7 linked regions of the Kluyveromyces lactis genome follow. The protein of the gene in region 2 purifies or fractionates together with the protein of the main gene of each other region. This does not show direct contact. Links are inferred from orthologs where the notes say so. Each region holds a gene or a part of one and is shown on either strand. Other genes may lie near its edges. The genes, in order: RRP9, UTP9, RRP5, NOC4, SOF1, MPP10 and BMS1.

Evidence for each region.
Region 1: the proteins of UTP9 (region 2) and RRP9 purify together in Saccharomyces cerevisiae (affinity purification with mass spectrometry; 3 studies listed by BioGRID). This does not show direct contact. The link is inferred for Kluyveromyces lactis from reciprocal best matches to the Saccharomyces cerevisiae genes UTP9 and RRP9.
Region 3: the proteins of UTP9 (region 2) and RRP5 purify together in Saccharomyces cerevisiae (affinity purification with mass spectrometry, with the first as the bait; 3 studies listed by BioGRID). This does not show direct contact. The link is inferred for Kluyveromyces lactis from reciprocal best matches to the Saccharomyces cerevisiae genes UTP9 and RRP5.
Region 4: the proteins of UTP9 (region 2) and NOC4 purify together in Saccharomyces cerevisiae (affinity purification with mass spectrometry; 7 studies listed by BioGRID). This does not show direct contact. The link is inferred for Kluyveromyces lactis from reciprocal best matches to the Saccharomyces cerevisiae genes UTP9 and NOC4.
Region 5: the proteins of UTP9 (region 2) and SOF1 purify together in Saccharomyces cerevisiae (affinity purification with mass spectrometry, with the first as the bait; 3 studies listed by BioGRID). This does not show direct contact. The link is inferred for Kluyveromyces lactis from reciprocal best matches to the Saccharomyces cerevisiae genes UTP9 and SOF1.
Region 6: the proteins of UTP9 (region 2) and MPP10 purify together in Saccharomyces cerevisiae (affinity purification with mass spectrometry; 5 studies listed by BioGRID, with this or other methods). This does not show direct contact. The link is inferred for Kluyveromyces lactis from reciprocal best matches to the Saccharomyces cerevisiae genes UTP9 and MPP10.
Region 7: the proteins of UTP9 (region 2) and BMS1 purify together in Saccharomyces cerevisiae (affinity purification with mass spectrometry; 4 studies listed by BioGRID). This does not show direct contact. The link is inferred for Kluyveromyces lactis from reciprocal best matches to the Saccharomyces cerevisiae genes UTP9 and BMS1.

Annotation. Positions count from the first base shown.
Region 1 is NC_006038.1:970,261-973,754, forward strand, and holds RRP9 (ribosomal RNA-processing protein RRP9), read right to left. Parts: upstream 2,205-3,494; coding exon 501-2,204; downstream 1-500. Other genes in the region: KLLA0_B11055g (uncharacterized protein), read left to right, coding at 1-42; chromatin-binding protein CTF4, read right to left, coding at 2,570-3,494. UniProt on the Saccharomyces cerevisiae protein: Involved in nucleolar processing of pre-18S ribosomal RNA. Required for efficient pre-rRNA cleavage at sites A0, A1 and A2, and biosynthesis of 18S rRNA.
Region 2 is NC_006038.1:376,679-380,293, forward strand, and holds UTP9 (Utp9p), read right to left. Parts: upstream 2,121-3,615; coding exon 501-2,120; downstream 1-500. Other genes in the region: XPT1 (xanthine phosphoribosyltransferase), read right to left, coding at 1-67; NMD5 (Nmd5p), read right to left, coding at 2,427-3,615. UniProt on the Saccharomyces cerevisiae protein: Involved in nucleolar processing of pre-18S ribosomal RNA. Required for optimal pre-ribosomal RNA transcription by RNA polymerase I together with a subset of U3 proteins required for transcription (t-UTPs).
Region 3 is NC_006038.1:728,644-732,649, forward strand, and holds the start of RRP5 (Rrp5p), read left to right. Parts: upstream 1-1,206; coding exon 1,207-4,006. Other genes in the region: YPK9 (putative acid anhydride hydrolase), read right to left, coding at 1-40.
Region 4 is NC_006038.1:952,674-956,184, forward strand, and holds NOC4 (ribosome biosynthesis protein NOC4), read left to right. Parts: upstream 1-1,445; coding exon 1,446-3,011; downstream 3,012-3,511. Other genes in the region: ASN1 (asparagine synthase (glutamine-hydrolyzing) 1), read right to left, coding at 1-162; PPT1 (protein serine/threonine phosphatase), read left to right, coding at 3,275-3,511. UniProt on the Saccharomyces cerevisiae protein: Involved in nucleolar processing of pre-18S ribosomal RNA and ribosome assembly. Has a role in the nuclear export of 40S pre-ribosomal subunit to the cytoplasm.
Region 5 is NC_006042.1:1,438,447-1,441,546, forward strand, and holds SOF1 (rRNA-processing protein SOF1), read left to right. Parts: upstream 1-1,163; coding exon 1,164-2,600; downstream 2,601-3,100. Other genes in the region: KLLA0_F15576g (uncharacterized protein), read left to right, coding at 1-687. UniProt on the Saccharomyces cerevisiae protein: Required for ribosomal RNA processing.
Region 6 is NC_006040.1:821,799-825,499, forward strand, and holds MPP10 (rRNA-processing protein MPP10), read right to left. Parts: upstream 2,328-3,701; coding exon 501-2,327; downstream 1-500. Other genes in the region: NOC3 (Noc3p), read left to right, coding at 1-401; AVT1 (Avt1p), read right to left, coding at 2,720-3,701. UniProt on the Saccharomyces cerevisiae protein: Involved in nucleolar processing of pre-18S ribosomal RNA. Required for the early cleavages at sites A0, A1 and A2 during 18S ribosomal pre-RNA processing.
Region 7 is NC_006038.1:180,197-184,347, forward strand, and holds the start of BMS1 (GTPase BMS1), read right to left. Parts: upstream 2,801-4,151; coding exon 1-2,800. Other genes in the region: KLLA0_B02090g (uncharacterized protein), read left to right, coding at 3,522-4,151. UniProt on the Saccharomyces cerevisiae protein: GTPase required for synthesis of 40S ribosomal subunits and for processing the 35S pre-rRNA at sites A0, A1, and A2.

The sequences.
Region 1 (3,494 bases), about 590 kb from region 2:
TTGATTGGTGCTGCCGCTGGTATTGCTTTGGCCTTCCTATGATTCCTTTACTTTGGGAGTTGTTTGCTTTCTCTTGAGACGATTTGTGTTGTTTATTACTCTTTCGTTCCTTGCTTGTTTACAAGAACATGAGGAACGCTTAATACTTAAAATAAAAAAATCCATTTGACTTTTCCCGATCTTTTCCTTTAATCCTTTGAGCTATTCCTTTGATGTTCCCGCATTTAATTCTCTACGTCGCTGGCTATGTGAATTAAATCTTATCTGTTCTCAAATTCGTTCTCTAACACCTTATTTTATCATGGCTGACAATGAAAGACACTACTCAAAATCATGTCACAATGATTTCTATTAATCCTTTCCTAGTTCTCTACATCATTGATCGGTTAGAGCTCTCTATATATAAATATATACCCTTGTAACAATTACTAATGTATTTCGGCTTTATTAAAGTATTCTTCTTTTTACTATACAGGAGATTTTTCTATTGATAAGATTAACTAGAATCCGGTTTGTTCTATCACAGCAGAAAAGATACCATTTCTTGCACCTGGTACCTTGCTAATCCATCTTCCTAATCTATGTTCTTTACTGACACTTGCTAGAATTCTGAAGGTTTCTCTACCGGTTCTGCCGGATTCTACGGCTTGAATTTTGGTTACCACACCTTTACAGTTAGGTAAGTCTCCTAATAGTTCAAATGCTCTTAAGTTCTCATTGATTTTCCATACCTTCAGGGTTCCATTCCAGGATCCTGAAATGAAAATATCAGAATATGGAACGGCGTATAATGATGTTATCCAAAATGGTTGGGCAATGGATCCACCTTGTAATTGTGCATTGCGTAATTCATCGCTCACTTCCCCAGAGATTTTTTTATCCTCAACTAATGGTACAACACCATGAGCAGTTCTAACGGTGAAAAGAGGTTTCTTTTTGGATAAAGACCATAATGATATATTTCCGTTATCAGAGCCAGTAACGAAATGTGAATCATCTACCATGCTAATACAATCGATACTTCCCTCGCCATAAAAGTGAGGTGGGGTCTGTTCATGCATATCTTCTCCGCCTTCTGCGGACAATTGTTGGTTCTTCAACCATTTTTTCCTCAGTCTTTCAGGATCATCACCACCTCTGAATGTCAATCTGGATTCGTCAGCTATTTTCCACAACATAGCGGTACGATCCCTGGACCCCACTGTCACACAACGCTCCATATTTAGGGCAGAGATATCAATAACCAAATCCTGATGACCGTATAATATTTCCAGTTGAGAAAACTGGTTAATAGCATACGTTCTGATTTTGTAATCGGCACATGCTGCGAATAATTGATCCGAATTCTTCTTGAATGCTAATCCTAAAACCTCACCTCTACGATCTTTGGTTGGAATAATTTTCACAGGGGCTAAAGATTCGGTACTCCATACTATCAGTTTACGGTCACGACCACCACTAACTACGTATTTACCATCAGGAGAAGCTGCCACCGTTAAGATTTCATCGTAATGACCTTCTGTCACATTCTCGTACTCAAATTTACCTTCCGGTATGTATTTTCTACCACCTTTAACATATTTCACTTTTTTTGGTCTAGCTTTGAAATCAGTAACATCATATTTTGTTAATTGCATGTCCTTGCTAACAGTGTAAGCAAATATTTTGTCCTTGCTCTTATTTTGAACATCTTTATGAGAAAACTTGTTAACTGAGGGTTGATAACACGAAATACATGTTAGATTATTTTCGCCTACTCTTGTAAACGTTGTTCTGGATTCACCTATCAAAAGCTTATTTGAAATCCATCTATAGATACGCCCTTGTTGCTCTGCAACATCTTGTTTCAATCTGGAAGCAATGATATCTCTGTCCAAGTCACGAGCATCAAAGTTATTGTAATCCTCTAATTGTGTTTGACGGTCCTGTTCAGTGCTTGCGGTCGCCAGAGAATCGCCAATATCTTCAGCTTCAGCCTTTAAATTCTCTAAATATTGTTTAGCCAATCTTCTTCTCTTATCAGCAGGGTTTTCGCCTTCAAACTCGTCTTCAGATTCCAAGTATTCTGCTACCTCATCGCCATCATTGGATTCATCTTGGACATCACCTTCATCAGAAGAAATATCCGTGATTTCCTCATCTACCTCTTCGACAGAATCCCTATTACGTTTTTTTGAGACATTGCTTGTACTAGATCTAGCCATGGTGTACTTGGTGGCCCTCTGGTTGCTGTCTCGTCTGGTTTAGTTGCAGCTCATCGCCTGTTTCAATGATGTTGGTTCAGATGTACAATTTTTTTTTCAGTATCGCCAATTTGTAAAAGAAACGACACCACTTGAAAAGTGACAAAAATTGAAGAATGCATGAACTTGCAACAGAATTAAATAATAGTTTGGAAGACTTTACTCGATTCAACGACCTATATGCCTGATTTCATTGGTATTGCTAGAATTACTTAGTTTAATTTACATTACGGCAGAAAATGAACGTCAATGCACGGATCGGAAAATCAATTATTATTTAAACTGACAATACTTATTCTAGTCCAGATAAGAAGAACAGGGGATTATCATATATTATTGAAATCGGCCTCAAATTTGGCCTCAATAATCGTGTTGATTTTTCTTACTAGTGGAAGTAGTTCAGCTCTTTCTGCAATTTTTCTTGCAGCAGATAGGGCCTTATCTTGCTTCAGTTCGTTGACGATTGAAACGGCCTTGTTAACATCTTGCTCGGAACAGACATAAGCTAAAAGTCGTAGTAAGGACTTATCATGTGTTGCTACCAGATGCTGTAATAGATCTGTTTCATTTCCGTATATCTCACCTTCATTATCCATCGTGTCTTTTAGTAAATCACTTAGTATCTTGGAGCGTAGAAATTCCTCTTCTGCTGCTAGGTACATTGGAATTTCGACACCATTACTGTTATCAATATCTTCCACATCGCTGCTGTCGTTACGATTATCGTCTTGTGTCTTTTGAAGCTCGGATTTTGATACAACTGGGATTCTGACTTCCATTTCTGTAGGAACGGTCATTGGGATATCTGGCCATGCGTTCTTCCCCTTCAATAATAAATACGAAAATGTATCGAAGTTTAATCCTAATGGCCAAACGTGGACGTTCTTCGGATGCTTACCCCCTGACATCTTCCAAAGTTCTAAATTGGTATCAACTATGGGTACCCATCTCGCGTCACTACCACTTCTCCATTTGGACAGAATTAACAAAACATTATCATGACCAAACATACACGGATCACCAAAGCTTGAGAAGAATAAGGATTTGATACCTAGGGGGTTGAATGAATTGAAAATATCATCGTATTTTAAAAATTCAATGTCTTCATCATCATTTCCCGGCTGATTCTGTTGAGGCAACGTTATTGGTAAGGGAGATTCTCTTTGGAAGTATTTATTGCCAGTTTGCGGATGTTGTTGGAACATCGAGTAAGTAATACCATGATATTGTGAGTAATGAATGGTGAACACT
Region 2 (3,615 bases):
GCTTATGAATATTATTGTACGAAATGTACATCTTGCTAGTATCAGCTCCAGAATCTTCCTGAGACATCTTTAAATTTCAGATAGGCTATCGACAATTTGGGTGGTTCGTATAGCGCTTGTCACTAACTATATTAGCGAAATGCAATGATACGAATACGCGAGGTGATAACTCAATGGTAATTCGGCTGAAGATGAGATACCAGTTCTTAAAAAGATGCGATGAGCTTTAAAACTTTTCGAAAAAAAAAAAAAGAAATCTTGTTATCTGAGATCAGCAAAGATTCCCATGTGATGAGATAAGCTACAACACAGCCAGTTGTAGCATAAGGATTTAGAACGTTATTCGCATAGGAATAGTGTAAATAGCGGCTCTAATAAGCGAGGGGAAAGTAAAGGTATTTGTATTTCCGCAATTCTTTGATGGTTTTTCTGGATGGAATTAGGATCTATATATGCGGTACTAGTTATAATGAAATACGTAGTATTGGTATCAACGGTTATTATTCGGAAGCGTCATTCAAATCATCAGCTTCTCCATTTTCATATACGAATTCTTGTTCGTCTTCCTGTTCTCTGTCTTGTATTTCATTAACGTCTTTGCCATTGATTTGCATGGATGCTAATTGTTTTCTCAAGAAAGATTGTCCGGAAAGCATTTCTAATTTACCTTGAATGGAAAGGAGAGTTGAGAGAGACTCCGAGCTGGTCCTTAAGGACGACCTTAGGCGTTTTGTCATTTTGTTTGTGTTTGAATTGATAACCTTGATTTGAGATCTACGAAGAGTTAATAGCCATTTGAGCCATACAGAGGCTTGGCCTGCTGAATCAACATTTGCTGATATATGTTGCGCAAGCACTTCAAACAACTTATTAGTACTGTCTTCGTTAAGATCATCTCTGACAAATAATTGGATGTTATTATCCGACCATGGTTGTTGTAAAAGAATTTCAAGAATTAATTCAGAATTCATATTGGCTTCTCCGAGAGCAGTGATTAGCTTCTGTACAGTTTCATTTTGTTCCTTTTTTGAAATTTTTCTATCAGATTCAGGTTCATCCTTGGCGACGATCTCGTCAGGGACCAGAGAAGCTTGTTTCTCGGTATCAACTAAATTGAACGCGAATTCATTTTGTTCATGCAGTTGAGATTCAGATATTACTTCGAACTTAGGCTCATTCACATCGATCCATGCTAGTACAATGTTATCATCTTTGATCTCAAAATCTAAAATTTCAGAGTTCTCGACTTTTATGCTTGCAAGCGGTTCTTCTGCATCTTTCAGTAAAACCTTCATTCTACCTGCAGTGTCCAATACTACGATATTATCATTAATTACTTTCACCTTCTCGGATTCAACATCCCATTGGCATAGTATTTTTTTCTCTGGTAAAGAGTAGAGGGAGACTTTTGATACATCGGCAATTACGACATGGTCTTGATCATATACTGTACATGAAATTGATCCGAAATTTTCAATCTTGCTGAACGTTGAAGGCCTTTTCTTAGATGGATCTACAAGATAAACGAACTCTTCTGTGATGACCGCCAGAAGTAGTTTTTGTGGGAAACTTAATACCTGGAAGTTGATGATATCTTCATTCTTACCATCCGTTAGATGGAACGTTTGTAACGGCTTTGTTGTAGCATAGTTGAACCTTTTCACAGTTTTATCGTCATCTAACAACCATATAACATCATCTTTCGAATCAATGCCTAGAATTTCTTTCTTGTTCTGTATGATATTAATGATCTCTTTACCATTAGCTGAATGCACAACAATCTTTCCACTAGGGAATACATTTATAAAATATTGCTCTAATGGAGAGTTCGCTATCTCTTCATCGGCTCTTCTTTTCACACTTCTCGTTTTACAGTTGTTCTCCGCGGAAGAATGGTTGCTACACCAGGTCAAAAGGTTCACTTCAGAGACTACTAAGTCATTGCTCTCATAATCAATTTGAAGAACCTGAGAACTGTTTATATGTAAGTTGCTCACGTCTTCTAGTGGATATAAGTCAATGGAGTTCTTTTGGGACCTATTGGATTGAAATGCGAAAAATGTTGCTCCTGGAGAGAAACTAGTAATGTAATCACCAGCTGAGTAACTAGATTCAACCATTCTATAAACTGGTTCAATATTTCTGTCGCTTCGCCTCAGAAGTTGCCGGTACTAATGGTAAAGTTACCTTTTGATCACATCGAACTCTTTACCTTCAATCTAGCTAGGCTATTAAGTGATGAGATGGATGGAAATTTTTCAGTAACGCCAGAAAAAGAAAAACTCTTACCCGGCTACAGGTAAATAGCAGCTGCTCGAATGGTCAGCACGTGAACTATTATGTCGGCGATGCAAAAGTAGATAAAGCTATATGTATATACATTCGAAATTAATACAACATTTGAATGACTGACAAGTCATTTCACCTTATGTTGTGTGCAAAGTTCTGAGAAAAGCTTGTTGGTCTTCTGAAGACATGCTACCAATGAAGTTTTGATACTTCTCTGGTTCAGTCTGCTCCAATCTTGAGAAAGTGTGTTGGAAAAGTTCATAGATGTTGACGTCATCGAGGATGGATCCAGATAATGGGTCTTCTTCAAGTTCATCCATATCATCTTGGTCAAGGAACTGGCCCGATTCATGGATTAGTTGTAGGCTTCCGGCTTCATTCTTCAAGAATTTTAGATATTCTTCAGCATCGCCAGCAGCATCTTCATCATCGTCTTCGAAGTCATTCCACTCATCGTTAAATCCATCAAACTTACTGAATGCATCACTTGAGAATTCTTGACGTTTATCCTGTAAGACCTTCAGTGCTGCAGGGAACTTGTTGAATAAATCATTCAACATTGGCCCCAATTTCAGATACACGGCCTCGATGTGTAACGAGACATACTCTTGCATGGGTACAAGTGTTAGAAGAGATAAGGTAGCCATGATCGACAACTTAATGTCAATGACTCTAGTAAACTTTGGGAGATAGAACTGGATCCAAATTTCAAGGAAAGTCGTAAGAAGCTGTTTGTGGTTTAGAAAGTTCAATGATTGTGATGGATAGTATACCATAGATGCTAGTATAACGTTGAATGCATTGACACCATAATTTAGATGAGTTTTCAAACTGTTTTTTTCCACTTCTATCGCTTCAGTTGTAGTAGTTAAAAATGTACTCAAAAATTGTTCTGGGATTTTGTCTCCGAATGCCAAAATCATCTTTTGTGCAAATTCAAACACGACGCACATTTCGTCTAGATCCTTGTCCTCGTTTTCATTTGCAGTAGCAGCTTGGAATATTTCAAATAGTATATTAGTGTAAAAAAGGTTTTGCTTCAATTCGTCCTTACCGTAAATTAAATAGTTAGAAATTGCCATCATAAAATCTTCCAAGTAGAAAGAAACCATACTGCCCTCTTTCCTATTGCAATCACCAATCAACTCTAACACTTTCCAAGAAATCGAAGAAACTTTACGCAGTAGAAATGTAGAATTCTCAACAAATTCACACACTTCACGGTAGAAATCTTCCATATCATTCTTTAGAATGAACTCAGCAGCGGGATAGAAAGAGTGCTCTAAACTCTCGATAATTTCAGTTGAATTTTCAAAAGAAAGTAAA
Region 3 (4,006 bases), about 350 kb from region 2:
TATGGGGTATTCCTGTAAATCTGCTGTCGAATGATGACATTGAGTCCCTCTTCAAAGGTGCGTTGGTCGACCTTATCTATTGATAGAATCCACTCCATATTACTTTTTAAAGGTTTCTGATATATATGAGAATGTAGGTTGATAAATTGAAGATAATTGATTTAATGAAATTTCATACCAAGACACATAATACATAAGGAAGGATAGGAGAAAAGGCAGGCCAATGATACCTCACGTTACAATGTGGAACTTTACTGTGTTGATAAAACTCTCGTAGTTCGATAGATATATAGACTGCCCCTGAAAATGGATCGAAAGGAGCCAGAAACAGCTTTAGACTGTAATATGATGGTGCTTTTATGCCTTATAATAAATATTTCCGGCTGTGAAAGTACCTTTAGAAATGAAATTGAACAAAAAAGAGAAAAAACATATAGTCTGATCTGAAACTATTACCATAGAAGGCATTCCACTCGTAATTGCACAAATTTTTCTTAGCATGACCAACAAAACTCTTATCACTCCCCTAGAACCTTTTAGTTACATGGTTTCCACCATTACAGATATGTAATTATTATACCTCTTTAAGAAGATAGAATAACTGGCTAACAAAAGCCCTTAATAGTTAAGAAGTATGTCATGCATTCAAAAGACCCTAATCCGTGGATACGGTTCAAACAAACTCCAGTGATAACAACGGAAGATCTGTACAACGTTCCATTATTAAACTGTCACTGCATCAAAGGCGCGATTACATTTCGTCTATGTCGTTTTGATTTCTTTTTTTTAATATTGAAAATTTTCAAAAATCGATGCGATGAGATGAGATGAGATGAGATGAGCTTTAGCTACTTAAGTGCTGGATCATTTGTATTGGTATGCTAACACATTTCTGAGCTTTGTTGATTCTAGAAACCAAGTGCAACTTTCTTAATTCTGGTAAAGATAAGTCTGGTTTACTTTCTCAAACAGGAAACAGTTTGGTATAACATATTTTGTATCTTTCTCTGAATTCTTTTTGCTTTGTGCTTTCTATTGGCTTTATTGGTTTCTATCTTCACAGAAGACAAAAACAACAACAACTTGGGAACAGGAGCTTCAATAGTTTGCAAGACACTTCAAGAAAAACATAGGTTTACATCTAAATTGCTAGGTGTAATTTGTTTTGAAAACAGGCATATCTAAATACCGAAAAAGATCACAAACATGGTTGCTCCACAAAGTAAAAGAAAGAGAGACGATGAGTCTCCTTTAGTAAGACAGGATGCTACCGAAGCACCAGCCAAATCTGCATTGAGTAAATCCGAGGAAATCTCATTTCCAAGAGGTGGTTCTTCTGCTTTATCCCCATTGGAAGTTAAGCAGGTTGGTAACGAAGTGGTTGCTGATGTTTTATTTGGCAAGGATGAATCAGCTACTGGTGCAGAGGGCCCAACGAAGAAGAAAAAGAAGAATGCTAAGAATAATTTTGATCAAATTACCACAGGTGATGATGAAGAAAAAGAGGACAAGACTGATTTAATTGAGCATTTTGGAATGAAACAAATGACCAAAGGGACCATTGTCTTGGGTCAAATCCAATCGATCAGCAAACATGAACTGAAAATATCTTTGGTGGACGGTTTGCATGGTTACGTCTCATTAACAGATATCTCTGAACAAATGACCAAGATTTTGGAAAATTTGGACGAATCCATGGAAAGCGATGATGAAAAAAATGAGGACTCAGAATACGATTCTTCAGATGATGAAAGCGACATAACAACTCCTAAAGAATTACCTGATCTCAATAAATATTTCAAAATAGGCCAATGGTTGAGGTGCATGGTACAAAATAACAGCGCTTTAGAATCAAACAAGAACAAAAAGTTAGACTTATCCATCGAACCCTCTGTAGTAAACGTGTTTGAAGATGATGATTTAGCTAAAAACTGTCCACTACAGTGTTCGTTGAAAAGTATAGAAGATCACGGTGCCATTCTTGATATCGGTATTGAGAACTTAACAGGTTTTATCTCAAAGAAGGATATACCTGAATTCAGTTCTTTGTTACCAGGTATGGTGTTCTTAGCTACAGTGACGAAAAGATCTGGTAGAACTGTAAATGTCAACTTGGATTTGGCCAGTAAAAACACCAAGGTCGAAAAGATCTCTTCCATAGATGCCATCGTGCCGGGTCAATCGATTGACTTTTTACCTCAAACTATCACAAATCACGGTGTTATCGGTAAAGCCTTCGGTCTAATAACTGCATTTTTGCCATTGCCACATTCCAATTTCTTTACGGTAGAGGATTTGAAGCATCACTACTCCATTGGTGACTTAGTCAATGCTAGAATTTTGGCAACCACTATAGTGAAAAGCGGCGATAAAGTTGCTGTCGTTTCCACACAACCTCATATCATCTCATTGCATCCAAAATTACAGGAGACCGAAGCGTTAGAATCTTTCCCCGTTGGCTATATCTTCGATTCTTGCACAGTTAAAGGCAGGGATAGTCAATTTTTCTACGTATCAATCAACAATGAACAGGTGGGACAAATTCATTTGTCAAAGGCAGGAGAAACTGAACCAACGGGAACTGTGAAAGCAAGAATACTCGGCTATAACAATGTAGATAAACTTTACACATTGACGTCTGATCCAGCCTTACTTGATGTCAAATACCTAAGATCGTCCGATATTCCAGCAGGCGAAGTTTTGAGCGCTTGTGAGATTGTCACAGTGTCAGGAAAAGGTATTGAATTAAAAATTTTCAATGATCAATTTAAGGCATTTGTTCCTCCCTTACACATATCTGATACCAGACTTGTGTATCCTGAAAGAAAATTCAAAATTGGTTCAAAGGTTAAAGGTAGAGTTCTCAATGTCGATTCTGTGGGCCGTGTCACTGTGACATTGAAAAAGTCTATTGTAAATGCAGACGAAGAATCTGTGACGTTAGTCTGCAAAAATGATGATATTCAGACTGTTGAAAGTCAAGAATTGAAAACAATTGGTACTGTTGAAATATTCAAGCCTAATGGTTGTGTTATCTCGTTCTTTAATAATATCAAAGCTTTCGTTCCAAACAAAGAAATTTCAGAAGCATTTGTAAAGAAACCACAAGAACACTTAAGACTAGGACAAAGTGTTTTGGTTAAAATTTTGAATCATGACTTCGAAAGAAACAGAATTATTGCTTCTTGTAAAATTTCAGCAGAGTCTTCTTCCAAGCAAAAGAGTGCTATTGAATCTTTAGTTGTCGGTAAATCTATCATCGATGCAATTGTTATTGAAAAGACTAAAGATTCCGTCATCGTAGAATCTAAAGATTCAGGGTTGCGCGGTGTTATTTACACCGGCCATTTGTCAGATGATAGAATTGAACAAAACAGAGCTTCGCAGAAAAAGTTAAAGATTAACTCTGAAGTTAGAGGTTTGGTTTTGGACAAGGACATCAGGACTCATGTGTTCAACATGTCCTGTAAAAAATCATTGATTAAAGATGCTGAAGACGGTACCCTTCCTTTAAGTTTTTCCGACATCAAAAATAAAGACAAAACAGAACCGATGCATGGTTACGTTAAATCTGTTTCTGACCGTGGTGTTTTTGTTGCATTCAATGGTAAATTTGTCGGTTTGGTTTTACCAAGTTATGCAGCAGAAACCAGAGATATTGATATTCATAAGAAATACTACATCAATCAATCCGTGACCGTGTATTTATTGAGAACAGATGAGGAACATGAAAGATTTTTATTGACTATTTTAAAACAAAAGACCGATGTTAAGAAGATCAATTCATCTGTAATTAACCCAGTCGACAAGTCTATCAAAGATTTGTCGGACTTCACTATCGGTAAGGTTACAAAGGCTACAATTACATCAGTTAAGAAGAACCAGCTTAACGTTACGTTGGCTGATAATGTACATGGTCGTATCAGTATTTCTGAAGTTTTCGACAGTTTCGAAGATATCAAAGAACAAAAGGCACCATTAAGTGTGTACAAGAAAAATGATTCAC
Region 4 (3,511 bases), about 580 kb from region 2:
TCCGACAATAGCCAATCTTTCGTGAACTAGAATAGTAGAGTTCTTAACAATGTTACCTGACCAATCTGGACCACGGTGTCTGATTCTCTTGGATAATTGTAAAGCTTTTGGTTTGTAAGCCTGAACATCAGGGTTTCTGAATGAAGCAAATATACCACACATCTTGGGTCCTGTTACTTCGTTATTCTGTATATCTAATTGATAAGAGCGAGTAAAAAACCAATACTAATACAAAACAAAGATCCTAACATAAACATATAAACAATTCTTATTACAAGCGAGCATTAGTTTTCTTGTGATGAGCATCAATTCTTTATACTTTTTCCAAAATTTTTCACCAGAGCTTGAATCGCCGTATTCTTTTTTCTTTCGAGATATTGAAAATGACTCAGTATCAATTGCATATCAAAAGAATATGACAAAGCAGCAGAGAAACGAAAAGTAACGAAGTGAAAATGAAAATTGGTGCCAGATTCTAACTCTGATTCATAGTTGATTCATTTGTTCCCGCTCCGACTTGTCATATTCACGATACCATCGTATCACGGCATTTTTTTCTATCTAATATTTACGTTTACGTTTACAGTTAGTTTAGTTTTTGAAATGAATCGCACAAGGCGATTCATATTAGCAAGAAGCAAGACTCAAACACACAAACTCACATCAAGTCTATACATGGGATGACCTTCCCAAAAAGAATCAGAATTTTATAAAAAGTGTCCCAAATCATTCAAAGAATGTAACAAGATTATAAGGCTTGCGAGGGCACCACATTCTCCATTAAAACCATGAACAGAAAATAATTCCCATCCACGAAAGAATTGTAAGAATTAAAAAAGCGCAAATAGTATCATCGTCTTCTTTTAAAACTTGGAAGGTCATGTGGATTTAAGCCCAAAAAGAGTAATACAAGTAAAGCCTATCAAAGTTACATCTCTTCTACATCACCAATTGTGTCTTGTAATTTCTTGGTTCATAAATCTTTCTCTTATATATGATGAAATTCGGGCTAGATCATTTTATACTAATCGTTGAAATTTGTATGCTGTTAGGGCTCATAGGCTGCCGTGAACTGGAGGATACGCACCCCCTGAAGGAACGAGCATCAGTGTGCGTATTCAAGGTGATGCAGGCAAGACTTGACTGACAACAGAATGGTTTACCACTCTAAATTATATATTTAATGTCGCCATTGATAGCTAGTTTATTAGGAAATGCGATCACGTGATAAGAATAATTTCTTTTCAATTGTCTTCTACATTGCAAGAATCTCTGAAAAATTTGGAATCAAGAGATGAGATGAGATGAGATGAGATGAGATGAAGTCGAATAGGAAACGTTAAGGTAGGATATTCTCACCGTTATAATCTGTTTGATTACTCGCAATAAATAATTGGAATTCACATATAAAAGTTTCCCAAGGATTCAGACAGCGATTAACCAAGATGCTCTCGAAGGAAGAGATTAAGCAAGTTTGGAAGTCTATTAGCACCGGCAATGATAGAAAACATTACAACTCGTTGGTGAACCTAATCCATGGGTACAATGAACTTCTAAAGGAAAACGAATTGTTGCACAATTTGGAAGATGATTACCGTTATATGACCATTGCTTTGAGTCAGATTTTCATCAAACTTTTTGAGCGTGGTCAATTGATGCCTCATCTTGCATCCAATGCCAATGAAAAGAAATTCTTTGAATGGTGTAAGAAACTATATTTAAATTATAAGGTTAAGTTATTGGCTATCATTACATCTTTGCATGAAGTTAACTCGTTGAGTTTAGATTGTTTGGACTCATATATGAAAATGCTTCACCATGAATCGATATATTGGGCTTCGAAACCAAATAGTCCTTTCTTTCCAAATAAGACTTTAAGATCGTTACTAGTGGCTCTTTTCCATTGTAACTTTGAAGGTGATATCGGTTTCAAAGATGGTCAGAGCGAGAATCCCGTGTTTAATCTATTTGTGGAAGCCTATTATAAGAAGAATTTCGATATTCAATTCTACACACAATCAGAACTGATATCGTTGTTACCAGAACTTGATGGCCAAACATCTGACGAAATTTTGATGTCTAAATGGTTGGCTTTATGCAACAACGATGTTCAGGGATCACCAGACTTGGAAATATTCGTATCTGTGCCCCCACAAGCCATCGAGAATGATGCTAAGTTTAAATCCAACCTCGAAACAAATTGGTTGCACTGTCTAAATTTAGCCAACTTATCCAGTAGCCAATATAAAACTGTGCTTTTAGTGCTACACAAGAGAATTATAGTATGGTTCCATCAACCAACAAAGCTTATGGATTTCCTTACCGACTCTTACAACCAAGGTGGTATCGTTTCAATCCTTTCATTAAATGGTTTGTTTGAACTTATGAAAAAATACAACCTAGAATATCCAAATTTCTACTCAAAACTATATCAGCTTCTAACTCCAGAAGTAATGCACGTTAAGTACAGATCAAGATTTTTCAGATTAGTGGACACCTTTCTATCTTCTACACATTTATCCGCACAACTGGTAGCGTCATTCATCAAACGTTTGGCACGTTTATCCGTATCGGCACCACCAGGTGCTATTGTTTCTATAATACCATTCGTGTACAATCTAATCAGAAAGCATCCTACATGTATGATTCTATTACACGATCCAGAATACATCGACTGCGATTCAAAGAAAAGGCAAGAATATCTAGATCCATTCAACAATGAAGAAACCAATCCAGAACTTACAAATGCTCTTTCCTCCTCAGTATGGGAGCTAGAAACGCTAATGAATCACTACCATCCAAACGTAGCCACTTTAGCGAAGATTTTCCAACAACCTTTCCAAAAGTTAAGCTACAACATCGAAGATTTCTTAGATTGGTCTTACGATTCACTTTTGCAAGCAGAAACCAATAGAAAGCTGAAGATCCAACCTGCTCTTGAATTCGAAAGGTTTGAAACAATTTTCGAATCAGGTTCTGATTCAGCATTCCTACCCTTCATAAAATGGTAAATACATAATTTCAAGTAGAAAACTTAAGTAGTTCAATTCCAAATTGAGTACTTTCTTTCACTTTCGCAAATCTCTTCACATTACATCTCATCACATCGCCGTAATATTGAAACATCGAGATGAAAAAAATCAACAAGTCAACATCAAGAAGAGAAAGACTCACATCAGAAAAAACTTTAAAATGGGCTCCGTTTATCGGTCTTGAGGACTTAAAGGCACATACCATACCAGTTGGCTGCTTTTTTACCACTACTATTGAATAAATGACTGAGGAAGTGAAAGCCTGTAATCCAGAGAAAGCCTTAGAGCTGAAGAATGAAGGTAACAAGTTCGTGAAGGAGAAACTGTACGCAAAGGCAGCTGAGTATTATACAAAAGCCATCGAGCATGATCCCGAGAATACGATCCTATATTCAAACCGTGCGTTCACCAACCTAAAGTTGGATAACTTCCAAAGTTCTTTAGACGATGCTAAACGTGCAATTGAATTGGATAATAAC
Region 5 (3,100 bases), on a different chromosome or scaffold from region 2:
AGATTGAGTGATAAATTAGATAATTTAGTTGCATTAGCACCTGCTGTTTATCCCGGTCCACTACTCGATGAAAAATATTTCGTTAAGTTTATGGCGAAACACATAGATAATCGCTGGGTATTCGGAAACAAATCATTTGTACCAATGATGATGGAGATGAGAAATTTGTTGGCCGGACACAAGATATTCTCATTTTTGTCTTACGTCATGTTCAACTACTTGTTCAACTGGAACGATATTTTATGGGACAGACCCTTGCGTGATAGACATTTCCTATTTTCTCCAGTGCATATATCTGTGAAATTGATGCAATGGTGGTTAAGTCTTAACCCTTTAAAGTCAAGCTTCAAGACTTTCGCCGAAGACATGTTCCCCGACATCAAGACCTGGTTCCCAATACAAAATGAAACAGTAAGTATGGATGAACATTTACACAGAAATCAACATAAACCTTTGCCAGAAAATTGGCCAAAGATTTTACTCTTCACACCCAGGCAAGATAGACTTGTAGACGGAGAAAGATTGATTAATCACTTTATCAACCACGAACCACACTCTGTCTACAAAATCTGGTATATTGATGAGTATTCACATTTGGATGTTCTATGGGCCAGTGACGTTATCGAAAGAATTGGTAACCCAATGCTTGCACATTTGAGAATTCCGAAACCGACATTTGCCAGTTAATTAATACAGATAACTTTGAATCACAGACTAGAATGGAATTTTGACACTTTGTTTCCATTTTGTGCAACCCAACATATAGATATACAGTTCTGCAATCATTACATTTTTTGTAAGATATATAATATACTAATGACACTACTTAAACGGTAAAAAAAGGGTACACAAAGATAATCCCAATACAGCTTTGGAAACTCAAGTACTCAGTGACTGTAGCAATGGCTAAATCATGTTGTTGTTATTTTAATAAGGTCTTTAACTGTCATCTTATATCGTCCTTGTATATTCGGCATAATTTCTTTTTAACAATTTTTCAAGTTATCGAAATGCAAATCTCATCTCATCTCATCGCATCATAAGCAGTGAAAGGGAATGGGAAGAGGAAACCACTGGAACTGTTTCCATATCATAGTTGCTGATTAACTAGCACAAGGTCTACCATATTTAGTGCCAACTGGGGATATTGAAAGAATAGCGAAATGAAGATCAAAACTATCAGCAGAAGTGCCGATGATTATGTGCCGGTGAAGAGCACACAAGAGTCTCAGATGCCTCGTAATTTAAATCCGGCTCTGCATCCATTCGAAAGAGCTAGAGAATATACAAAGGCTTTGAATGCCACCAAGCTTGAAAGAATGTTTGCTAAGCCATTTGTCGGTCAGCTTGGATACGGTCACAGGGATGGTGTGTACACCATTGCAAAGAATTACAATGTATTAAACAAACTTGCTACGGCTAGTGGTGACGGTGTTATCAAGTACTGGAACATGTCAACTAGAGAAGAGTTAAGTTCATTCAAGGCACATTACGGTATGGTTACTGGTCTGTGTGTTACTCCTTCATATTTATCTCCACAAAGAGAAAACTTCATGCTTTCTTGTGGTGACGATAAGACGGTGAAGCTATGGTCAGTGAATTCTGACGACTTTTCCAACGTTAAAGATGATACAAGATTGAATACAGATGAAGGTATCATCAAAACATTCCATGGTGAACATGCTTTCCAATCTTTGGATCATCATAGACAAAAATCGAATTTTGTTACTGGTGGTGCCCAAATCGAACTTTGGGATACAAACAGATCAAAGCCAATATCAAATCTTTCATGGGGTGCGGACAATATCAATCATGTTAGATTTAATCAAAATGAGGTCGACATTTTAGCAAGTACGGGTAGTGATAACTCTGTGGTTCTTTATGACCTAAGAACAAACTCTCCAACACAAAAAATTGTTCAAACCATGAGGACAAACTCTATCTGTTGGAACCCAGTGGAAGCCTTCAACTTCGTAATTGCCAATGAAGATCATAATGCTTATTACTATGATATGAGAAATATGTCCAAAGCTTTGCATGTGTTTAAAGATCATGTTAGTGCTGTTATGGATGTTGATTTTTCCCCTACTGGTGACGAAGTTGTAACAGGCTCCTATGATAAGACAATCAGAATTTACCAAGTTAAACATGGTCATTCGAGAGAAATATATCATACAAAGAGAATGCAGCATATTTTCCAAGTGAAATATACCATGGACAGTAAGTATATAGTAAGTGGTTCAGATGATGGTAACGTTAGACTATGGAGAGCCAAGGCATGGGAGAGATCTAATGCGAAGAGTACACGTGAAAAGAATAAGTTGGAATACGATGAAAAACTTAAAGAAAGATTCAAGCACATGCCAGAGGTCAGAAGAATTAGCAGGCACAGACACGTCCCTAAGGTTGTTAAGAAAGCTCAAGAGATTAAGAAGATTGAAATTGATTCTTTGAAGAGAAGGGAAAGAAACGAAAGAAAGACAAGGAAAGACATGCCATTTTTACCTGAAAGGAAGAAACAAATCGTCGGTACTGTCTTTCAATACGAGGACGACAAGAAATCTAATTCGAATAGATCCAACGATTCCGAAGATGAATAAAATATATGAATTTCTATCAGTTTTGAATTAGATATTTATAAATTTGTAACGTTAATAAGCTCGAAACATGTCTCTTTTTTCTTGAAGTTATAAATCAAGGTAGTTGATCAAGTTTTCCTTTCAATGAAAAATCGTTTTTAGCAAGGAACTATCTTTTACCGAGATTAGCAGATATCTTCTTTATAATTTGAATCATGGGTTGCATGTAACGAATTGAATCCTTTCATATTCTTTTACAGTATTAGATTAGAAGTATAGTTCCATAATAAAAGTGAGAGAAAAAGAAAAAAAAAAAAAAGAGGAAGTGAACACAAGAAGAACCAGCCTTGCTTGCCCAATATAATATGATGAGTATTATAGTACTAATGAGTCTATCAATTTGAAACTATGGCAATGAATATTAGAGAGAGGGAGAGAGAGAGAGAAGAAGATGTGGTCATGCAAAAAAAAAAAAGACCCAATATATGCAATCGTTTGCATAAACAAAGCATAAAATGAAT
Region 6 (3,701 bases), on a different chromosome or scaffold from region 2:
ATGAACTCGTCAAACCATCAGTTAACGTATCAACAAAAGCAGAGTTATTGTTGAAAGCCCTTGATCATGTCTTTTTCAGATCAAAATCTGGCACTAAACAAAGAGCTGCTGCGTTCACAAAGAGAATTTACATGGCTTTGCTGCACACTCCAGAAAAAACATCAATTGCACTGCTGAAGTTTTTGGATAAACTAACTACCAAATATCCAGAAGTACTGGGTTTATACTCTACAGACGATAGAATTGGAAATGGGGAGTTCCGCATCGACACAGACTTACCAAGTAGAAGTAATGCAGAAGCAGCAACTATATGGGAAAATAGCCTTCTTGTCAAGCATTACAGTCCTTCTGTTGTAAAAGGTGTAAGATCATTATTCCATAAATCTCAAGAACATAAATAGTTTGGGGGATAAAAAGATAATTAAGAATTCTCTTATTTACCACCTTCATTTCAATGCAATTGCATTAATTATAGTAATATATACTTACTGTAACAGTGTCTATAACTTGAAATTGATGTTACCAGATGCATTATCCTTCTTTATATTACCCTTAACATCAGTTTTGGCACCCTTTTTATCGATAACGGTTATGTTCTTGGATTTAGTCAAGGTATTAAGAACATCATCCGTCTTACTCTTCTTTCTAGGTTGTTCGGCTCTTTTCGCAGATAGCTTCGATCTCTTTCTCTTAGCAGCTCTACGGAGTCTGTTTTTATCCTCTCTGGACAGTTCATCTCTGGACATCACCACACCATTCTTCAAAGTTATTTCATTAGAGTTCTCTGATTTACCAACTTTGTAGATTTCCTGAGGAGCTAATGTGGAACCACTTGACATTGTTAGTGGTTGTGCATCTTCCATAGAAATAGCGGCGGTTTGCACTCTTACTTCAAGATCTTTCTTTATCGGCTTAGGTATGAAGTGGGCTGACGATAATGCATCTAGTTTGTAAACCAAATCTTTATATAGCTCTGAAATTTCATCGTGACTTTTCTGTAATTCTTCTGATATTTCAGTATCCTCGGTAACACCTTTGAAATCATCTTCATAAATTTCAGCTAGTGATTTTGATGACTTTACATCACTTAGTTCGAATCTTGGTTTATTATTGTAGCCTGAAATATCGCTGATAACCCTCCTCTGTAGATCGTTAAAATCTTCTTCCTTGATCCTTCTACGGATCATATTCTCGAGAGTTTCTGTTACCTCAGCTGTTATAACTGGCACAGGTTTGGCAGTTCTTTCGAACTCAAGATCTTCCGTTAACAAGGCATCTTCTGGCCTATCGCGAGCTTTTACTTCACCTTTTAACGCCCATTTCTTCTCAGCAACAGCTTCCTTTTCGAGGGATTCTATTTGTCTTTTTAGCTCAAGTTGTTGACGTTCAAAGGTAGATAATGGTTGTTCAGCAGTTTCTTCATCTGATCCCTGAAAATCATCGTCTTCGTCAGCAAAAAGATCTAACTTAGCTTCCTCCATTGCATCATCATACTCGCTTTCGTCAAAGGATTCATCCTCTTCGGCCTCTGCTTTCTTTGAAGGTCCTGGCCGCCTGTCCTGGGAAGATTTTTTATTAGATGGCTTATCAAAGAAATCGTCGTAATATAGAGCTTCTTCATCTTCCTCCGATGGAACATCTGCGAAATAATCAACTTCTTCGTCATCCTCATCTTCTTCATCTGCATCTTGGCTTCTATTCTCAGCCTCAAGTGTTTGTCTATTGAATTCATCTAGATTGAAAAATTGATCGTTTACACCAAACTTGTCTTCGATCGCTTGTGGACTTTCTTGTGCTTCTACAAATTGATCATCAGGTTCCGAATCACTTTCGTTTTCCAATTTATCTTCTTCCTTCTCATGTAATTCTAAAGGTTCTGGTTCTGAGAACTGTTGTTCTTCATCTAAAACGAGCTCTTCATTTTCTGCTTCTTCCTCCTCCTCTTCAATAGCAGACTCTTCAGAAACTGGAGCTTCGTCTGCAGACATTTCATTGGAATTTTCAACATTAGAGGCATCATCTTCGTCTCCGCTGCTTTCCTCGCTCATATCATTCTCATTATCAACCTTCAGTTCGGCGATTTTTTCCATGATATCACCTTGAACATTATCTAAAATGATTTTTGACTGCCACCATACCTGGTTAGCATCTAGCCCATCAACCACTATCTCATCTAATGTTGTCTTTGAATTTCCATTGTTTTTATTCAGATTGATGACTTCGTCAAAGTAAGTCTTCACTGCCGATAGTGGTTCCTTGGACTCCAGAGCATCCTGGGAAAGAAGTCCAACAGGATTAGTTTTCAAAATTTCCAAAAACTGACTCATGTTGTGTTATGTGTGGGTCAGTGAAACGTTACCTATTTACTGGTGTAGCTGTAGTGGATGTATCGATACGATCAAGCTGCTACTATAGACGCATATTTCGTACATGCTGAGTGATGCGATGAGATGAGTTTTCATCAATTTTTCAGGTATCCAAAAATTTGAAAAAGAAAAAAATGATGGGAACTGTCGCCAATGCGGGTAAGAAGAGAGATAATAGACACAGTTGTGAGGCATTGGTTGGGTGATGAATACTAGACAGAAGTACATATGGGTGAAAAGTCATTATATGAAGTGTGATTCCCTTAGTTTGGGTGCTAAAATTTTGCATAAAGACACGTAGATGCATATACAAGAATGAGGTGCTGGCAAATTCAACAGCATTTGTAGGTAATTCATGAGGTGAAGGAGGCGTATACTCCAAGAGTGGATAATACTGCACTAATTAATATCGTAATATTACACGCTATCAATTCCCAAGATTTAATGGTTTTGTAGCAAATTCTTTTGTAGAACAAACATGGCAGAATGAAACAAATCATGAAACAAAGTGCAGCACCCAAGAATGCAATTATTTTGTCAAATTCAGGGAATAAAATAGCAATAATCACGAACATAACATTCACCATGATTCTGTTAAATATTCTGGTTGCCTTTGCGAAAAAAACCTTCGATGCTGGTTTAGTTTCATCGATGTGCACTACGTTAAACATTGAATCAAAGATGGAGACAATCGGTCTTGCATTAAGTGGTGTTTTGGCAAGTGGAATCAGTGAAAGAAGAGTTGAAATTAGGCCATAAACAAAAGGCGGGTATCCTGGAGTCAATAACACACTTCTTGTCACTTCATTCATAACAAGATTACCGAACATTAAAAATCCAACGACAGCAATTCCGATATCAGTAACAATGGTGATGCTATAAGTGGTCTTCAAACAACGAGTAAACTTCTCCGGATGCCTCATATCACTCTTTAAGTTGGGAAAGACTGCGTGACCTCCCCAGCATGCACTCAATAACCCTAAGGAAAGACAAAACTCCTTGAATGAATTGGGCCACATCGATGTGGCTTCTGGTTGCAATAATGACCCTGGTGAATATTGTTTTAGCAACCCACAGAAAACTACTAACAATGCAGTTCCAATAGTCGAGATAATACCCAACAAAGAGATATTTGATAAAACACTTAATGGCAAAAATATTGGAGGAGTAACTGCAAAAAAAGCGACGAATTTGAAGAAGTTGACCGAATATTCTGGGAACAACGCGTTCAATGAATCACCGAACAAAATGATCAAGGCTACACCACATGCTAATAAATCCATAGCAAATAGGAACGAGATCAATGCACGACCTTTTGGACCAAAAGCTGCATAT
Region 7 (4,151 bases), about 200 kb from region 2:
ACATATCCTTTATGAAGGCAGTGTTCTTGAAGATTTTGTAAGGATAACCAACAAGCTTTAATTTCTTCACAATTTCTACGCTTGCATCGATCTCCTCTACAATACCAGTCGCAGCTATTCTGAAACTTCCAGTTGTATCACTGTTAGCAACTATTTGAACACCACAGAAAGTGGTATTTGGCGAGCACAAGGGACCATAGAAAGAAGCTGTACAATAAGCATGTTCTGGAGTATACTTCAACATTCTAGTCCTGGTTCTAGAGTCACTAGTGGTGTATATTGGTAGAGTTTGGAAACGTCTCCAACCAAGAGATAAAACTAAAGGATCATTTGTCTTGAGAATCTTTTTGTGCCAACGATGTCTTCTGACTCTTGCATTAATAATTCCGAACTTCAATTCTGTGGGAAGAAGACCTCCCATAATTACTGGATACTTTGGGTTGAAATTTTCGATGAATTCCATAGGAACCTTATCGAAGACAATACGAACATAAGACCCAGCTTTCATACCTTCGATTTGTTGCCTTTGTTCAGGAGTCATAGATTCCAGTTCGGCTTTATTGATTTCTAATTGTTTAGCAATCTTAGCCTTCTGTAATTCGTACCAGGTATCGTATTCATTTTCAGGGTCTTCTCCAAAGTTGTCTCCTTCTTCCATTTCGAATTGTAACCTTAATTTCTCTTTTTTTGCGGCATTCAATTCACGCTCTTCATCCTGGGTCAAATCCTTCTTTTCTTCTTCTTCGAAATCAGCGAACGATTCGTTGCTATCAGATTCTTCATCTCCTGCAGCAGAATTCTCCTCCTTCTCATCTGTGTTTTCAGGCTCAGCTTCTAAGTCCTCAAAATCACCGTATACTTCATCTTCATCATCGTCTTCATCCTTTACATCATCAGAAGACTTGGTGTTTAAGGATGGCTTTCCAACAAATCTGTCTTTGATTGAATCGGCAGTTGACCATCTTTCAACAAGGTCATTGAATGTATCAAAATAAGGAATAAATCTTTCAAGATCATCGTGGTAAGTTACTGCCTTATTCGGTGTAGTATTTGTCTTTTGGGTGAAGAATTCAGTATCTTCATCGTCTTCTAGATCTTCTTCAACTTCAGTTTCGTCGGCCTCGCCGTTCCATCTTTTGATTGCATCAGCTGGAGCAATGTTGTCCATGTAGATAAGTTTGCTGATATCCCACTTTCTTCTTTTATTCTTTGTACCATTCAATTTACCAGCTGTGGTTCTTTCCCAACCTTCAGAATCAGATGCATCCAATTCTGAATCTGTCTCAAAGGCCATGTTTTCAGGTTTTTCGTCATCAAAATCAATTTCAACTAATTTAGTGCGATGTGCTTCATCTTCGTCATCATCTTCATTATAGTTTTCGTTGTCACTTGATAAATTATCGAGATCTGCGTTAGATTCCTGAAGGGATTTGCCGTATACTCTTGCCTTTCTTAAGGAAGATCTACCAACGTTTCCTCTATCAACATCATCCTCGTCTTCGGTGTCTTCTTCAACTTCTTCATCCTGATCTTCAATAGCATGTAACTCAGTACTATTTGAGAAAAGCTGCAATCCAACATTCTCGAATTTTTCATCAATGGAACGAGATGTAGCCTGTAGGTTGGACACGATCTTGTCACTTTCATCTTTTTCCTCTGCAGTCATTGAGTTTGGACCTGTCTTACCGCCAACATCAATGAACACGGCATCCTTATCCATAAGTAAACCACCAACGTCAGACATTGGAGCATAGATCAGCTTTTGTTTATCATCCAATCTTTTACGTCTTCTTACAGTCGTTGCTGATGTGGAACCTTCTTCCTTAGCACGTTCACGTTCAAATTCATCTAATTTCTGTTGGTAATAAGGTGTCGGACAAGGATCAGGCAATTTCTCAACGTGATCGATCTGGTAGTCACCTACACCGGCGATATGGACCCTGTAGCCTGGAGTCGAAGGTAACGGAGTACCGTGTAAATAACCATAGATGGCGACTTTACGATCTATATGCATACCCTTCGATTGTAAGAGTTCTGGATGAGTTAAATCGGATATTCTATCGGCCAATAAATAAGGATGTTCGTTTCTCCATTGCAAAGGTCTGAACTTCATAACACTTATAAACCTTGACAAGTTCAAAATCTCTCTATCTGGATAACGACCGTTAATAACACCAGAAAGGTAGAAAAGCTTGGCACCCTGATACACTTCGGTCCAGAACCTATGTTTCAAAGATTTCTTAGAGGCACGCAATGTTGACTGGGATTTGAAAAGATCCAAATGTGTAGCGACACCTAGTACACGAGGCATACCATGATGTTGAGCCAAATTCAAGAATTCCATGGTCTCCATTTCAAACCCGAAATTACCATCCATCATCAAAAGCACCAAATCGGCCACTTTTGAAATATCGATCATGGAATTCAAATCATCCGCAGGACATTCGATAAAAGTCAGCCTTCTACGCTTACCAGAAACAACAGTAATAGGACCGTTAATTTCGGATAAAGTGGTCTTTGTCAACCTTCTCACTAACGATTTGATCAAAGTAGTCTTACCGGTACCTGGAGGACCAACAACAGCAATAATGATCGGAGGAGGATCATCATCTGGGGTACGATCCACCATCGGAACATGCAACTTCTTCTCATTCTTATCACCCGTACGTTGCATCTGCTTAGCCATTTTCCCCGGAGCGGAGACAGCAAAGGCCTTAGCATTGTGGCCCTGAGAATGTAACTTCTTCTTGGCACCAGCCTTCTCCTTCCGCTTCCTATGTTCTTTATTCGATTGTTCCATTGCTGAAGCTTGAGAGTCTTAAGATGTATTCAGGCAATGTGATTCGAACTAACTGGCCTAAAGTGACCCTTTTGATTCAATTCAAGATACTAGAATCTTTTATGTTCACCGATGAGATGAGATGAGATGGTTGAGCTTCTTCATGCAATTTTTCATGCAGGGTAAGAAAAAGAAATGATCTGAACCTTGTCGATATCTAATCACGTGATTCTGCACGTGATCTGATTTTTAAGAATTTAAGGTATTCTGTCAGTTTTGTAGATATTCCTACATGTCTCTGCCGTAGTAACTAGGGCCCAAGGGCATATGGAAAAAAAAGCGTTCATCGAAATTCGAACATCAAAATGAAATCGAAATCCAATCAAATGCACAAACAGAACAGGATAGAACAAAGGTCAATGAATCAACGGTTGGATTCCGAATAAAAGTCGTTTGTTTCATTCGTTTCCCTAAAAGTTGTTGTGTTTTTTATCTTTAGTTCGTTTGTGTGGTGATTTGGATTTCACAACAAGAACTGTACGTTCTACACCAGTTATATTGTTGTGGATACGAGACAACATCTTTTGGTCATAGAAAACACATACTGTTCTTATTCTTTCCAATCTGTGTGCGTGTAATTTTTACTGAGTTGAAGCAGGAAAGCTAGGATAACAGAGTCTTCAGTGGTGTGTGTTTCCTTGTTGAGCTTTTTATTTTTTGGATAGAATACACAGTGTGAGCAATGGTTTTGTATAAAAGGAAAACGATAACGTTGCCAGATGCTAGGCCATTACCGTCAAATATCAATAGGAAAATATGGTACATTCAAGAGACAGGGGAATGGTTTTTGACTTATGCAGAGTTTTTGCAACGATTGGATTTTTATAGGCGACATTATTTCACCTGTGAGATCACTGGTACATCATGTTTAACTTTTTTTGAAGCGTTGAACAGTGAAGAAGAGCAGTTCCAATACGTTGAGAAAATGTTCCCTTTAAAATTACGTGAACCTGTTGCAAAATTCATCCATTTCAACGAGATTAGAAGGCTAGATATGCTCGTCGAACAGGTATATGCAAGATTTAAAAACGACTATTTCCCTGGAGAAACGGTATACCTACGGAAAAGTAAGCAAGATTCCTCACATGACGATGCTGAAAAACATCATCAGCACTCACATGGATCACAGCATCAAAAAATTTACATTATCAAAGAAAAGGCTCAGTTTAATGCAGTTATAGATAGAGATACAAGGCAAGAATTGGTTCCTGCCCATGCAAAATATATGTTACAGGAAGCACAAGGTAGTACTTCAATCGTTGCCGATGAGGATCAGATTTATCGTGATAGATCATGTTTCACTAAGCATTTG